Linked DNA regions of Astyanax mexicanus. The protein of the gene in region 1 purifies or fractionates together with the protein of each later gene. This does not show direct contact. Links are inferred from orthologs where the notes say so. Each region holds a gene or a part of one and is shown on either strand. Other genes may lie near its edges.

Region 1 (7,713 bases):
TATTTGAAATTTGGGAGAAATGTTTTCGATTGTTTATAGAATAAAACAACCATGTTCATTTTACTCAAACACATACCTGTAAATAGCAAAATCAGAGAAACTGAAGTGGTATCTATTTTTTTTCCAGAGCTGATGTCAGTGTTAACACTAAGAACATTTCCCTTTCATAAACTCTAAAACATTTTCAAGATTTTAGAGAACATTAAATTGTTCCTTAATACAAAAAAAAAAAATAATAAAAAAAAAAATATATATATATATATAATGTAATAAATCATATATATATATATATATATAAATGAACACACTTGTAGTTCTTTCTCTGGAGCTGCCATTTCATTGGAGGGGACACCTCAGTGGCATAAACCTCTCTGAAATGAGAGCCCATGACCTCTGTGACGCCACCATCCCCAGCCCCTAGGTCTAGGAGCCTTTCTCCTTTCCAGTCTGAGTCAATTTGGAGGAGATTACGAAACTGATCCAGTGAAAAGACAAACATAGAACCCCGACCTAGAAACCTGTTTACAAAAAAACAAACAAAAAAAAAAAAACAGTAAAACATCAAAAATAGAGGTATTAAAGAAAATGATATATAACTATTAACCATAACAGACTGTGGTTAATAATAACTACAACTAATATTAAGCTGTCACTGAGACTGATAAACATACTAAGGTAAACAAAATTACATTTCTGTCTTAATGTTATATGGTTTTGTCTTTAAAAATTAGAACTAAATAACTTTTTTAAACACCTAAATCTTCATCACATCACATCTGTGATTAAATGTTGGTTGTGCCTGTGTAAATACATTCAGTCAACATCTCTAAACAAAATGAACAAAGTGTTGCTACGAGTTACCCATTAATGGACGTTCTTGAGATGATGGGACTGAAGATGGTGGAGAAGAACGAGTGGTAGAGTTGTGTGAAAAGCCATCCAGATTTCTCTACACTGTTTTCAAGAAAGGTTTGAGTGTCTGTGTCTAAATTACTCTGCACAAACAGTGGTCGAATCTTCTCACCAAGCATATCAGGACAGCAACGGTACCACTGAAATTACACAAGGCCCATCCATCAATCACATGCACATCCCTGATGAAGAAAAGCTGGTCATCTATTGTAACAAAAGTCAATGACGCAGAATATCATCATACTAATATTGCACTCAAATGTCTCCAGGTTTAAAGTAAAACGAATGATACTGGATAGATATTATCAGCCTCTAGTAGAAATATAATGGGAAATGAGAACAGTGTAAAATTTACTTTTGCTAAAAACAGCCAGAAAAGTAGTACCCTGATGTGATGATTAGGGGTGGGTGATATGCACGATATTTCAGGGTATAATATCTTTAACACTATTCAAAAATGTTGCCAATATTATTGCGTACAATACAATATGTCGCACCTCTAATCACAATTATCAAATAGTATGGTGGTTGTGTGAAATTTATTGTACAAGTCAATAATGTAACTATTGTGACAGGCACAGTTACAGCAGAATAATCTTTAATTTAATTTAAAACAAAACCATGGTTTTTATATCACCAAAAATATAGTTATAACAAAAATACCCTATATAACCCTATATAACAAAATATGACCCTAAAATATTTTAGGGTCATATCGCCCACCCCCTAGCTGTCATAGCTAGCTCACTAATTTGTTTAGCTTGGTCAATAGGATCATGGTTTAGACCAGCTAAACCATCAAACCCAAAACTAAAGCTAAAGCATGCTCTGTAGCTCCTGAACAACAGCTAAGCGGGGCAACCAGTCTAGCCAGCTCAAGCTGGTTAGACTGTTTTTTTTCCTAAGCAGAGAAATCCTTCTCATGAATATTCACTGAAATATTGAAATATATATACAAATCTGGAAAAAGTTAAGAGACCACGTTAAAAATCATTAGTTTCTTTGATTTTACCAAATTGAAAACCTCTGTAATATAATCACGAGGAAGATGAATGACCACAAGCCATTATACCAAACTGAACTGCTTGAATTTTTGCACCAGGAGTGGCATAATGTTATCCAAAAGCAGTGTGAAAGACTGGTGGAGGAGAATATGCCAAAATGCACGAAAACCAGGGTTATTTCACCAAATATTGATTTCTGACATCTTTAATACTTGTAAATATGAACATGTTTTCTTTGCATTATTTGAGGTCTGAAAGCTCTGCATCTGTTACTTCAGCTATTTTTCATTTTCTGCACATAAATGCGCTAAATGACAATATTTTTATTTGGAACTTGGGAGAAACGTTGGCCGTAGTTTATAGAATAAAGAAACAATGTTCATTTTACTCATATACCTATAAATTGCTAAATCATAAAAACTGATTCAGAAACTGTAGTGGTTTAATTTTTTTTCCCAGAGCTCAAGAGTTCAGAAATTAATATTTGACATAGAACAGTCCTTACATCCTGGCACTAAACCCTCAGTAAATCTGAGCAAACACATTATATATGTATATTACATAGGTATATTATTGAATTCACGTTAAAAAGAAGGGATATTTACCTCCTGGAAGTCTGGCCCTGTAAACTCAGTGTCGGTCACCATGTTCATAATCGCGGCTCGAGCCAGAGGACTGCGGACGTACTTCCCAGACCACATCCTCCTCCGCGCTGCTAGCAGAACCGCCACATAAAGCACCACCCAGCCTCCAAACAGCAGAGCCCTCATCTGTACAGAGCACACAGCCAGATAAATAAATAACACACACAGGTCCTGAGCGACCTCAGCTCCTCTTCTATTACAACTCCCTGAGGAACATTACTCCAGGTGCTGCAGGTATAAATACACTTAAATACCCCCCCCCCAAAAAAACACACAAACACACACAGACCTGAAGGCGTGGTGGAGATTAGAGGACCCCATCTTCTGTCAGAGAATCGCTAATCCCAAAAACACACCGATAACGCGTTAATAAAGCGCTGCATCAGCGAGGCGCTGCTGTTAAAACAGCTACTGCACTACAGTAATGACGGAGAGCCGGTGGAGGTGAAGCGCTTCCTGGGTTAGATGCAGGGTTGCCAGGTCCAACAAAAGTATCCAGCCCAAAGTCAGTCTAAAATCCTCCCTTCAAAAGCCTAACGTGTCTATCACAAGTTCGGAGCAAATGGCAAATTTCGAGTGTACGACTTAGTATTTTGTTTATGAGGGATTTATTACCAGTATTGCTATTTATCTTAAAGTCATTAATAATATTGTAATATTAGTGTTTTATTATTTATTTTACAGCAGTTTTATATCACAGTCAAGAACATTTAATAGTAACATAATTAGCAAAACAATAACGTTTAATTTCTCTTTTCTGTTCTTGCCCCTCTCGAACTCTCTTCTCTTCTCTTTAATATTTTTTCCATCATTTTCTGGTTCTTATTGATGTAATCAATCTTCCAATTATTAATTATTTTAGTGTCGACTCGTACACGTTTGACATAACAAGACGAACCCCGCTTTTTTGTTTTTTGGCGGACGCTGTCATTTTTAAAAGTAGCCCCAAAACGCACCTTGCCACCCCAGACTTTTCACCGGCTAATGGATTTTCAAACAAGCCCGATTTGGCGCAAAAACGCGAATCTGGCAACTCTTGATATGAATTCCTTCGTCATCAGTGTAATCCAGAGGCGTGTAATCAGCTCCAGTCCCCAGCAGGTGGCGCTCCACCTCCTCTCACTGAGTTTCACATTTAACATAAAATCATTACACTACAAATCTGGGAATTAACAGTAAAATAAAGAAAAAGTTAAACTAACTATATAACTATATACTTGTTAATGCTGTTAACAATAAAATATTCAATTGGGTTAAAGTGAAGAATTTATAAATTAGGAATTACACACTCTTTCAACTTTATTTACTCATTATTGTTTGTTTTACTGTTTTACTTCAATATATTTTAGACATTTAGTCCACTTTTTATAAAATGTCCCCCTTTAAATTTTATTTTATTTGACTTATTTGAGCTAAGTTTTGTGGACACTTAATGTGGATATCATTGTTTTCTTTTCCTTTTTTTGTTTGTTTATTGTTACTTGATGCGTTTTAGACACTAAAAAGGTCATATTTTGAAAGTTTTTCTTTTGAGGATTTTCTTTTTTATTTTTATTTTGCTCTTTTACTTTAAGCAATTAAGACACTCAACTTTTTTTAAGATTTCAGGAGGAATTCTATTTGGCATTTTTATTGTTTTATTGTTTTTTTTATTATTATTATTTGATTTAGTCTCCAAACAATATTTTCCAAAAAAAATGCTCATTTCGAATATTATTTGTTTTTGAAGTTTTATTACTTTTATTTATTTATTTTTGTTACATTTACTTTTTACTTAGTTTTTTGTTTGTGCTTTAGGCACTTAAGTCACCTTTTTTAAATATTCATATTTTGTGTTTTTAATTTTTTTTTTTAAAGGTATTTCTTGGTTTTATTTTTTGTTGTCAGTGGCTATATATACATCTTTATATACCATTACTGATTTCTATATTCTTTGATGGGTTTAAACACAAAAATAAAATTTTAAATGTCCATGTTTTCCTTGTTTGTCTTTTATTTGAGGGATTTTGGACTTTAATTTTGGATTATTTTGATTGCTTTCCGTTTATGAATTGTTTTTTTTTTTAGAAGAACATTTTTGTTTTTTTAGTTAGTCTTCTATTTTGATTTTTTTCTTCCTTTTTTTTCTTTTTTTGTTAGGGTCTTCGTTTACCTCGAGTGATGACTTCACAGGTGTACAGGTGAGTGGGCTGTTCTGATAGATTAGCGCGCGGGAACTCTCAGTGCGTCACTCCGTTATCTGCGGTACAGAGAGCGCGCGCCACGTTGATGGTGTTTCTGCTGAGAGTCATTAATGCACCTGCAGTACAGCCTCCTACTGTTCTAGCAGGACTGACCGCCTGAAGACCCGCAGATCCTCGCTGCAGATCTGCTGAAGCTGTGACTGCAGGCTGGGTGAAGCAACTCATCTACAGGGAGGTGATGTACAGTCTCCAGAGATCTGCATGATAAACCTGTTCCCTGTGTTCCTCGCTGGAGAAGCTCGCAGACATGATTTCTGAGGGGGAATTCGAGATTAAAGAGGAGGAACCGTGGTACGACCACCAGGATCTGGAACATGGTAAGATCATTTTTACTGCACTGGCAGTGATAGTACAGTCAGAGTATGAATATAGGCAGCTGGGTTCTTCGGAGAGAAGACAACATGCTGTTGAACAGCTTATCACAGACACTTTTACAATACTTTAAGTTTAAGTTAAGCTATATGACTGTACACTGTTAAAATATAGGTTTCTTAAATAACTTTTAGGGGCTCGTACCTTTGGAACAGTGGAGAAACCTTTTACTGTGCTTTGAGGAACATTCGAGAACATTTTTCTTTTAAAACATTCAAAAAACCTAAAGCAAAGCACCTTAAGGGTTTTCTCCACAGTTTCTAATTGAACAATCCTTACAGGTGTATAAAATGTTCACGTTTGGTCTGCTTGCTGTGATTTATAGTGATTATAAAATAAAGTAATTGTCATCCTCTTTGTCTTGGGAAAACATTCAGACTATGTAGTCAATCAAAGTCTGTTTCAGTGCGGAAATGTGGCTTTTTGACAGTTCAGTTTGCACCACATCCTGTGACAACTCGGCACTTTCACACCATCAGAAACCTGAAAGACACAAAGGTACCCAGATGCTAGCTGCTAGAATAATCCAGTCACATTCAGTCCTAGTAGCTGGTGGCCATCAAATGACATTTGTGACATCACAATATCAGTTCATTCAGGATGTACTGTTTTAACTGTTAAATTCTAAATCAAATCAAATTTTAATTTAATTTATTACATAGCTCTTTTTGTTTTTACAGCTGAAGTCACACAGAAGTTTTACAGAAGTCTGTTAGCAGGACAAAGAGTCTAACGTAATATAAAACTTAGAACATAAAATCCACAGTGAGCAACAGTTAAAAGGACAAATTCTCTCAAAGCTTGAGGAAGAAGTCTTGTTAGGAAACAAGGCTCATACATAAGTGGAGACCCATTCTCCTCTGGTCAGAATACTTTATTTACTAAATTAATAATTAAAAAAAGCGTTATACATACATTGTACATTGCTCTCATATATTCAGGTGTACTGATACAATGGTAACAGGGACAATAGAAATAATGACCATGATGTATGAGGGTAAGGGTAATGGTGTCAGTTTATGGTCAAGGGGGTGAAAGTCAGCGTTCACAAATTTTTTTTTCAATTTATGTTTTCATTATGCCTGTCATGAGTTAAATAAAAGACACAAGACATGTTAAGATAAATAATGTAATCATTTTTAGGCCCATTGATGTAATAATGGAAGTAATTCTACTATTTTGATATTCAAACATTAGGATAGCAATACATAAAGATATCCTAAATATTTTTTTAATATTTAAATAAAACAAAAACATTTCAGTTAAAACATAGTCAACACATCAGCCGATTAAGGTGAATAGGCTCTGTGTTCACTAAAGAACCTCAGCAATTCCATTATATGAACCCTTAACAACTACAAAGCTGAACTCTGTGACCAAGTGCTCATTGTGACCAACAAAAACATATCCCAGGCCCTGCACTTGTGTCAATCATTTAATTTCTGATAAATATTGCGTTGTAGTATTACTTAGTTGCTTTACATTAGTGGTCAGAAAATCGTTTGACAATATTGGGCTTTCTTTTTTTTTTTGGAGTTGAAAGGGAGGACGTCTGAAATTAACACTGGGTAAAAAAAGGTAAAATCTTGAATAAAATCACTGAGAGGATTTAATTTTATTATTCCAAGGCACAGGCTTGCTATGGAAACTGCTGAATCACCAGTGTCATTGTCAACGGTCAAGTGAGTTTTACATTGTTGTGGGCTAATGTCCAAGAATCATTGGCTCCAATGTTGACACCTTTAAGCTTGTTGGCTTGCAACCACACCACGTGGACATAAAAAACAGCTCGTGGAGGAAAGAGTTTTGGGATCACATTGAGTAGAGATGTTTGGAAGAAAAACATTCAGGAATTTAACCCTAATCACTTTGGCTGTTCCAACTATTAAGCATGGTGGTGGTAGTATCACATTTGTGGTCTACTTTTCTGAAAGTGGAACTGGTATATTGCACAAATAGGATGGAATAATAAAAAAGTAATTTTTCAAAATAACCTCAAACCATTAGCGATGCAGCTAAAATATGGACACAGTGGTTTTCCTTAACTCTACCCAAACAAAGACATGAGGAAAGTTGGGCCTGTGCGTTGAAATCAAAATAAATATTAAACTTCCAGTTCTGTCTGTAATAGCAATAAAATATCCAAGCAGAGATCTGTCAAGTTTTGTTTGCATGGCTGCTAAACATATCTAGTCAAAGTGCAATTTAGTATATATGCATATATAATATTTTTGTGTGCATGTATGATCCTATATATTGTATGTAAGTTTGACAAGTTAAAAAAAAAGCACATCCCGATATTGCCGAGGCACATGTCCATAATAAGTGTATGTAAACTTCCGACCACAACTATATGTCATTATTTTGAAGGTGAAAGGTTGCATTATCAGACCAGTGAACTGATAATCCTGCATATTGTCACGGTCATAAAATTGCCCTTTAAACAGTGTGAGCACATGAAGATCAATGGAACAATGGAGGGTAAAAATCAATATAATGTGCCTTTATATAATGTGTTCATAGAAACACTGTGTAGCA
Region 2 (6,979 bases), on another chromosome or scaffold:
CACAAACTTTTGCATGTCATTCTTTCCTGTGAGAAAGAAATCTGTTGCTATGGAGAATCCATACTTCCCACGCACTCTTTATCAGGCATATGGCCTTTTTCACACTAGTATGAGATGATAAGAAGCTACTTGTGCTAATTTGTGCTATTATCATTCATCTTTGTAATCTGAAAGTTGAAAGTGTCCTCTGTGATGGAAGGGCAGTCTCGGCTGAATGAAAGTGATCATTATTCATTAGAATCCACAGTCAGTGGTAAAGCAGGCTTGTGTGAGAGTGCATGCAGCATGCAAGAGGTTAAAGGTGCGCAAACTGAATAATTTGCATCATCAGCTGCACAACTGGACCTGCTCTCACTTCCAGGCAATCAGCTCAGCCCTGGATACACTGATTAGACCAGAATTCTGGCCAAGACTTGAGGCCTTGGAGGATATGGAAAGGGTGTGATATTAGGGGTTTTTGAGCGTACTATGGACTAGTGGTCTTACAACCTAATGCTGAAGACAATGGACTCTATTTTAGCGATCTGTAGTTGAGCTATAAACCGTGCACTGTGAAGCTTGATTTAGTGTCTTTGCTATTGTAACTATAGGAAAAGTACACCTAGAGCAGCTTGAAACACACAAAAGTCATGGATCATTTATCTTAAATCATCATGTGTGTGTTTTGGGCTTAAGTATACACCAATCAGTGCACTGCCAGGTGCGCTCTGTCTCTGAGGGCCCTATCGTACAGCCTGTGAAAGGCGCTATCTTACACCCCGTCAACAGTCTATTTTAACGCCTCGTTAACATAGCCTTAGAGTTAAGGAATATAATAATGCAGATAGGTATGGAGGTCTGAAAGCAACATGTGTTCAGGTAAACATCTGGTGCATTCCTATGTTGGCAGAAGAAAACACAGGTGCACTACTGACTGATTAAAACCCTGACAACAATCAGCCGTGCAATCATGTCTGGATAGCAATCAACTATAAAATATAACATACTTAAAAATTTGCACAGCAACTAAAAGTTATTATTAGTTATATTTTTTCTGACCTTTATAAGGATTCATATTTATGTTCAGTACATTCTGCTGTTTGAGAATTTGACAGATGCTCTTTCTCACTCATTCTCTTTCACATCCTGCAGTTTTGGAAAGGAAAAGAAAAAAGCACTTCGATTGATCATAAATTATTTTATTTCACTTAGCTATTATTTAACTGATTTGCTTTTATACTGTTTATATTTAAAAAAACATCAAAGCACATTGCCACCACCCTCTTGCATCTCACGCTGCCCGTCAATTCTTCAAAACCTGAACTTCAAAGAAATGTGAAATACACAGATCTATAAAGCTATATTATAGCTGTTTTGCATCATTATGATACCAAAGAAACAGGACACACCTCTAAATCCATCTGCACAAAGCGCAACTGATAACTGCGCTATAGATAACTAAAATAGGCCCCTTACACTTTTTTAATAAAATGTCACTTGTGAAATGTTACTTTTAACTAACTATCTAACTGGCAGTGTTATGTGATAAATGTTCTAATAACATTGTAATGCAAATCATTATCAAGTCATAATACAGGCTAACCATCCTGGAAAATTTTCAAATCATTGCTAAATGTTCTTAGCATGGAACCTAAAAGGTAACTAATTTTACCAAAATGTCTATTTTTGGAATGGCTTAGTTTTTCATTACATAACATATTGGCTGCATGAATATGCAGAAATGACAGTTGTATTAGTTTTTTTTTTTTTTTTACCTTTTTGTGCATTGTTTTTTTTTTTTTATTTAACCTCCACTGATCATGAAACCATGTGTTGTCAATCATGCATGTTTTATCTCCTAAAATATTTTATTGGCTCCAGAATTAGGTTAGTCACACAATGTCTCTAGTTAAAAGTTTAATGTGTAATCATGGGCTAAATTAGTACTGAAACAAGACGAGTGAATCTGTTTTGCACAGATCTTATCTTAAAAATACATGCATTTTAAATTAATTTTCAAAACACGCTCAGTATTAGCTGACCAGTGCAGACCAGTTAATTAGCTGTTTAATTACTGTTAAAAGAGCTCAGTCTTCATGTATGTGACATGTACACCAGTCATGGCCTGACCTTGGCATATCCTGTGGTAAAGTGGTGTGTTTGTACAGTTTCATTCTCTGGTCGAGGTCAGCGATATCTTAACGTCTCAAACACCTGACTGCTCAACAGCTGCGACTGTCTCACAGACTGAAACGAGCACCAGTAATACTCTGTCGTTTCTGATGAAATTCCAGTCCAGTTTCTGGCAATGCCCCATGTTTATGCTGAGCATTTACCACACATTAGTGCTTGTGCTAAATGGCAAAACAGCCACAGGCTAGATCATGCTTAACTGTGACAGAAGCACAAAACTCATCATTTAAAAGTACTTTAAATCTCCCTCATCTGCTGACCACAGACAGCAGGTACAGATTCCTCCCTCAGACAAAGTCTGCTGGCTAATTATGCTGTCCACTTGTCTGACAATCTCAACCAGCAGACTGAAATGCTAAAATAAAAAAATAAAAAATACACTCAGCACCCCATCTTGACAGAAAAAAACAGAAATGCAGAAATATTTGCAAATTTATTAAAAAAGAAAACTGAAATGTCACATGGTCATAAGTATTCAGACTCTTTGCTGTGACACTCATATTTAACTCACATGCTGTCCATTTCTTCAGATTCTCCTTGAGATTACTTCATTGGAGTCCAGCTGTGTTTAATTAATTAAACTTAGGAAAAGCACACACCTGTCTATATAAGACCTCACAGTGCGTCTGTGCAAATGAGAATCAGAGCTCAGAGACAGAATTGTGGCACAAGCCTGGCCAAGCTTACAAAATAATTTCTGCAGCATTCAAAGTTCATAGGAGCACAGTGGCCTCAATAATCCATAAATGGAAGAAGTTTGGGATGACCAAAACTTGTCCTATGTATTTTTATTTATTTTTAGTTTAATTTATTCATTGTTTCTTTTATTTTTTTATGATGTTTCCAAAATAATACAAATAATACAATCACCGCAATGAGCACACAAGCACATATTTCAAATAAATAAACAATTTATTTATTTATTAAGATTTTGCAACAACGTAGAAATAATACAACTTTACAAAATCCATGCATCTACATGACAGTAGAACAAATAGCATCACATATTAGGAACAAATAAACAATTATAGAAAATAAATAACACAAAATGCTTACATCTTTTTGCAAATTAGAAATGTTGTATTTTATAGGTTATTAACCATTTTTATTAACCAAAGACTTTTATAGATGTTTGTATATTTAATCATTTTTAATAAAAATGTATTTTACTGAAGAAAATAAATAAATAAATAAAACCACTGTTTAAACAGCTTATTGTATTATTATTTGAGAGAGTAAAAGTTTTTCTTTCCAAATAATTATATTCAGGCTATAAATAAGAAAATGTTTTAGCAAAAAATGACATCTTGCTAAAACTATAAGCAGATTAACAATGTAGTACTCATTCGTTGATCGATGATGATTATAGACAAACAATACATTAACTAAATGCAAGGAGAGGTTATAGTCTATATGTATAGTATACAATGAGTGCATTTCTTTTATTTATTATTATAGATAAAATAATAAAAAGGAATCTTTTAAAAACCACTAACAAAAGAAATATAATACAAAAAATAATAACAATTACATTTAAAAGAGAGAATTAAAATAAATATTTTTATATAAAATATAAGAAATTAATAAAAAAGGCCAAACTCACTGTAATTTTTTCATTATTTTGAAAGTCAGCAAGAAACATTTTAATTACACCTCAAAATAATGACTTATTGTGTATAAGTGGTGATGTAGTGTGTGAAGTTGAGTGTAGAGCTCCTGGACGGGTTGGTGGGGTTAGTTCAGGTGTTAGTTCAGGTGGCGGGAACGGGGAGCTCCTCTTCTCTAATCCGGGGAAAAGTTTCTGGGCGCAGCCTGAAAGCGAGAAATCGGGGCTACGCACTTTGCGCCCCATCGCTGCATAAAGCGGAGCGGGGCGTGCCGCTGCTGCGTAAGCGAGTTGGTGAATGCCGCCTCTCGCCTGTGTGGCGGCCGCGTTTTGCGCGCAGTGAGGATTTTGGTACCGAGCGGAGAGGAGATGCACACGGCACTCGAGTGAGGTAACTGTATAAAAACGCCGCGGTTTCATCTCTCGCTCTCACAGCAGCGACCCGGGCAGCTTAACAGCACGCAGCTGGGCCGGCTGCCCGAACCGGGGTCGGTCTGGAGCAGTTAGTTCGGTTTAAGCGGCGGAAAAAAGGCGAAGCTTTTGTTGTTGGGCTGCGGGTTAAGGCGGACATTTCCCCGTCCTGCCCTCGCTGCGGCTCTAACGCAGCGCTATAGCTCGTTCAGCTAAGCTAAGATAAGCTAGGCTAGGCTAGGCTAATGTGAGCTAGTGTGTGCTTGTGTGTGTTAATGTTGAGCTAAACCTGGAGCTTTACTGGCCGGCCTTTAGACCACTGGGTTATATAACTGGGTTAACTGGGTTAGTTAGCTGGTTAATAGTTGTGCTGTTTAATTAAGTTTAAGTGAGCTGAGCTAAGCTAAACTAGCTAACTAACACAAACAGTGAATCTGGTAAATTAGCTGTAGCCAGTTCACTAGCTTAGCTAGGGAACATGTGGTGTGTTAAGATTCGGGTCATGACAAAAAGGATTACAACGCTTATTTAGCTCGCATTCGGCCACTAATGATGATGATAATAATAAACATTAATAAAAAATAAACGTGTTAAAACGTGTAGGTCAACCAAATACGAATATGCAGTTGTTAAAGTTGCTAACTAGCTAATTACCCTTTCCATTATTTACCTCACTGTGCGTCTGCTCCTGAGCTCCACGTGTAAGCACTAGATATGACTGTCATTATTTTCAGATACTAAGTCTTTATTTTGAGTCAGCAAAAACATCTTCAAATAACACCTTAGTATCTCAAATTAATGACTTGGCATCTCAAAATGCTACTCCTGCTCCTGAGCGACTCTATTCCAGGTGACTCATAAGACACTGAGAAAATGCCAAATATTATTTTTAAACACCCTGTTTACAGAACAATTACGCGTTTCTGTGTAACCTTAATGTCTTAAGTGTCACATTTACATTGTAAAACATCATAAAAAGAGAAAAAAAACCTTTTGACTGCTACTGTATTCATACCTTTTGAACTTTTCCGGCATTTTTTCACGTTACACCCACAAATATGTATTTGATTGAGGTTTTATGTGAAAGACCAACACAAAGCTGCATGTGGTTGTAAAATGAACATGCAGAATACATAGTTTAGGAAAGATTTAAGTAAATACAAATCTAAAAAATGTGGCCTGCATTTGTACTCTGATATCTATAAAAATAAAATAATGTGATCCATTACTCTCAGAAGTCACCTAATTAGCTAGTAAGTAGAGTCTATCTCTATGTAATTTATTCTGAGCAGAATTACAGCTGTTTCATGAAGCCCTGTGAGATTTTATAGAGATAATGCATAATTAAACAGCATGATTAAAAACAAGAAACACACCAGACAGGTCAGGGATAAAGTTGTGGAAAAGTGTGAAATTCTAAATTTCAGGAATGTTTCTTGTTAGTATGAAATGCAGAAATGGAAAAACTATGAATGGACAAAAACCCCATTTTCTATTCAGTTTGATAAATAGAAAAATGAAACAAAGTTTTACACCAATGTTTCCATTTTCAAGTCTAGCCTCAAACAGTCTGAAGACTGAAATTACCAATGTTTTACTGACTCATCTTACGCTTTGTAGATTATGTATTTGTATAAGTTGGTGTTATTTAGCACTGAATTAATGGCATAGTTGAAATTTGTTTTGTTAATCGTTCTGTAAAGCTGTCCATCACTGTAGTATGAAGACAGATCCATAAAATTTCTCTTTCTCTTTTACTTTGCAAGAAATCTCCTTTCCTTACCATATGAATTATGTATAATGACGTGTTTACAGTATTCATTGTGAACGTCTAAACACACTGACTTAACTTGGTATGACATCAGCTTAAAGTGACAGTCCTTAAGTTTTTAGTGTGAATGTGTAACTGCACAGAGCATGCTTAAAAAGTACCTATAAAATGTGCATTGTAGTGCACAGGGCAGAAGGATCTGATTTTAAGAAAAATTCTGTTGTGTTCTCTAATTTTGTGTTTGTTTGGTTTAACGATGAGTGAATGAGAGCAGAGGACATACAGTTTTTTATTACAAAATAAAGAAGTACTACTATTTCAATTTAAATATACATCTTTCCTTAAATAAATGAGATGTTTATAAAATCAAATATCAGATAGAACAACTTTGTCACAATTCTGAGTACACTGAGGCAAATCTTTAATAAAAAAATGCTCTGTTAAATGTAATCTGTTAAAATATAATGCATAAATGTCTTAATATTACAACTCTGTTTGCTTTTCTATGTACTTACTTATCAGGGGAAAGTAATTAAGCATGACGCACACACACACACACTCACAGACATGGAAGGAGAGAATCTATAACTAGTGCTGTTGCTAATTGTGTTGTGCAGAGCAGAAGTTCTACCAAGAAGTTTTACAAACTGAGGTAGAACTTCTGCTCTGCACAACACAATTAGATAGATAGATAGATAGATCTATCTATCTATCTATCTATCTATCTATCTATCTATCTATCTATCTATCTATCTATCTATCTATCTATCTATCTATCTATCTATCTATCTATCTATCTATCTATCTATCTATCTATCTATCTATCTATCTATCTATCTAATTGTGTTGTGCAGAGCAGAAGTTCTACCTCAGTTTGTAAGCTGACTATTTTTCTACCTGTAGCTACAGTTTACTATGTTTATGGCGCTCATTGTCCACTTTCCGCAAATTTTTAGTGTTTGTAGCATAGAGGTATGGACAACTTAACTTTACATTTTTGAGAAATCAGTGATCCTGAT

The links.
Region 2: the proteins of mettl9 (region 1) and slc39a10 purify together in Homo sapiens (co-immunoprecipitation; 3 studies listed by BioGRID and IntAct, with this or other methods). This does not show direct contact. The link is inferred for Astyanax mexicanus from reciprocal best matches to the Homo sapiens genes METTL9 and SLC39A10.

What each region holds. Positions count from the first base shown.
Region 1 is NC_064422.1:28,297,776-28,305,488, forward strand, and holds the start of mettl9 (methyltransferase-like protein 9), read right to left. Parts: upstream 3,003-7,713; 5' UTR 2,850-3,002; intron 2,687-2,849; coding exon 2,522-2,686; intron 1,053-2,521; coding exon 862-1,052; intron 519-861; coding exon 309-518; intron 1-308. UniProt on the Homo sapiens protein: Protein-histidine N-methyltransferase that specifically catalyzes 1-methylhistidine (pros-methylhistidine) methylation of target proteins.
Region 2 is NC_064418.1:17,814,122-17,821,100, reverse strand, and holds the start of slc39a10 (zinc transporter ZIP10), read left to right. Parts: upstream 1-3,977; 5' UTR 3,978-4,169; intron 4,170-6,979. UniProt on the Homo sapiens protein: Zinc-influx transporter. When associated with SLC39A6, the heterodimer formed by SLC39A10 and SLC39A6 mediates cellular zinc uptake to trigger cells to undergo epithelial-to-mesenchymal transition (EMT).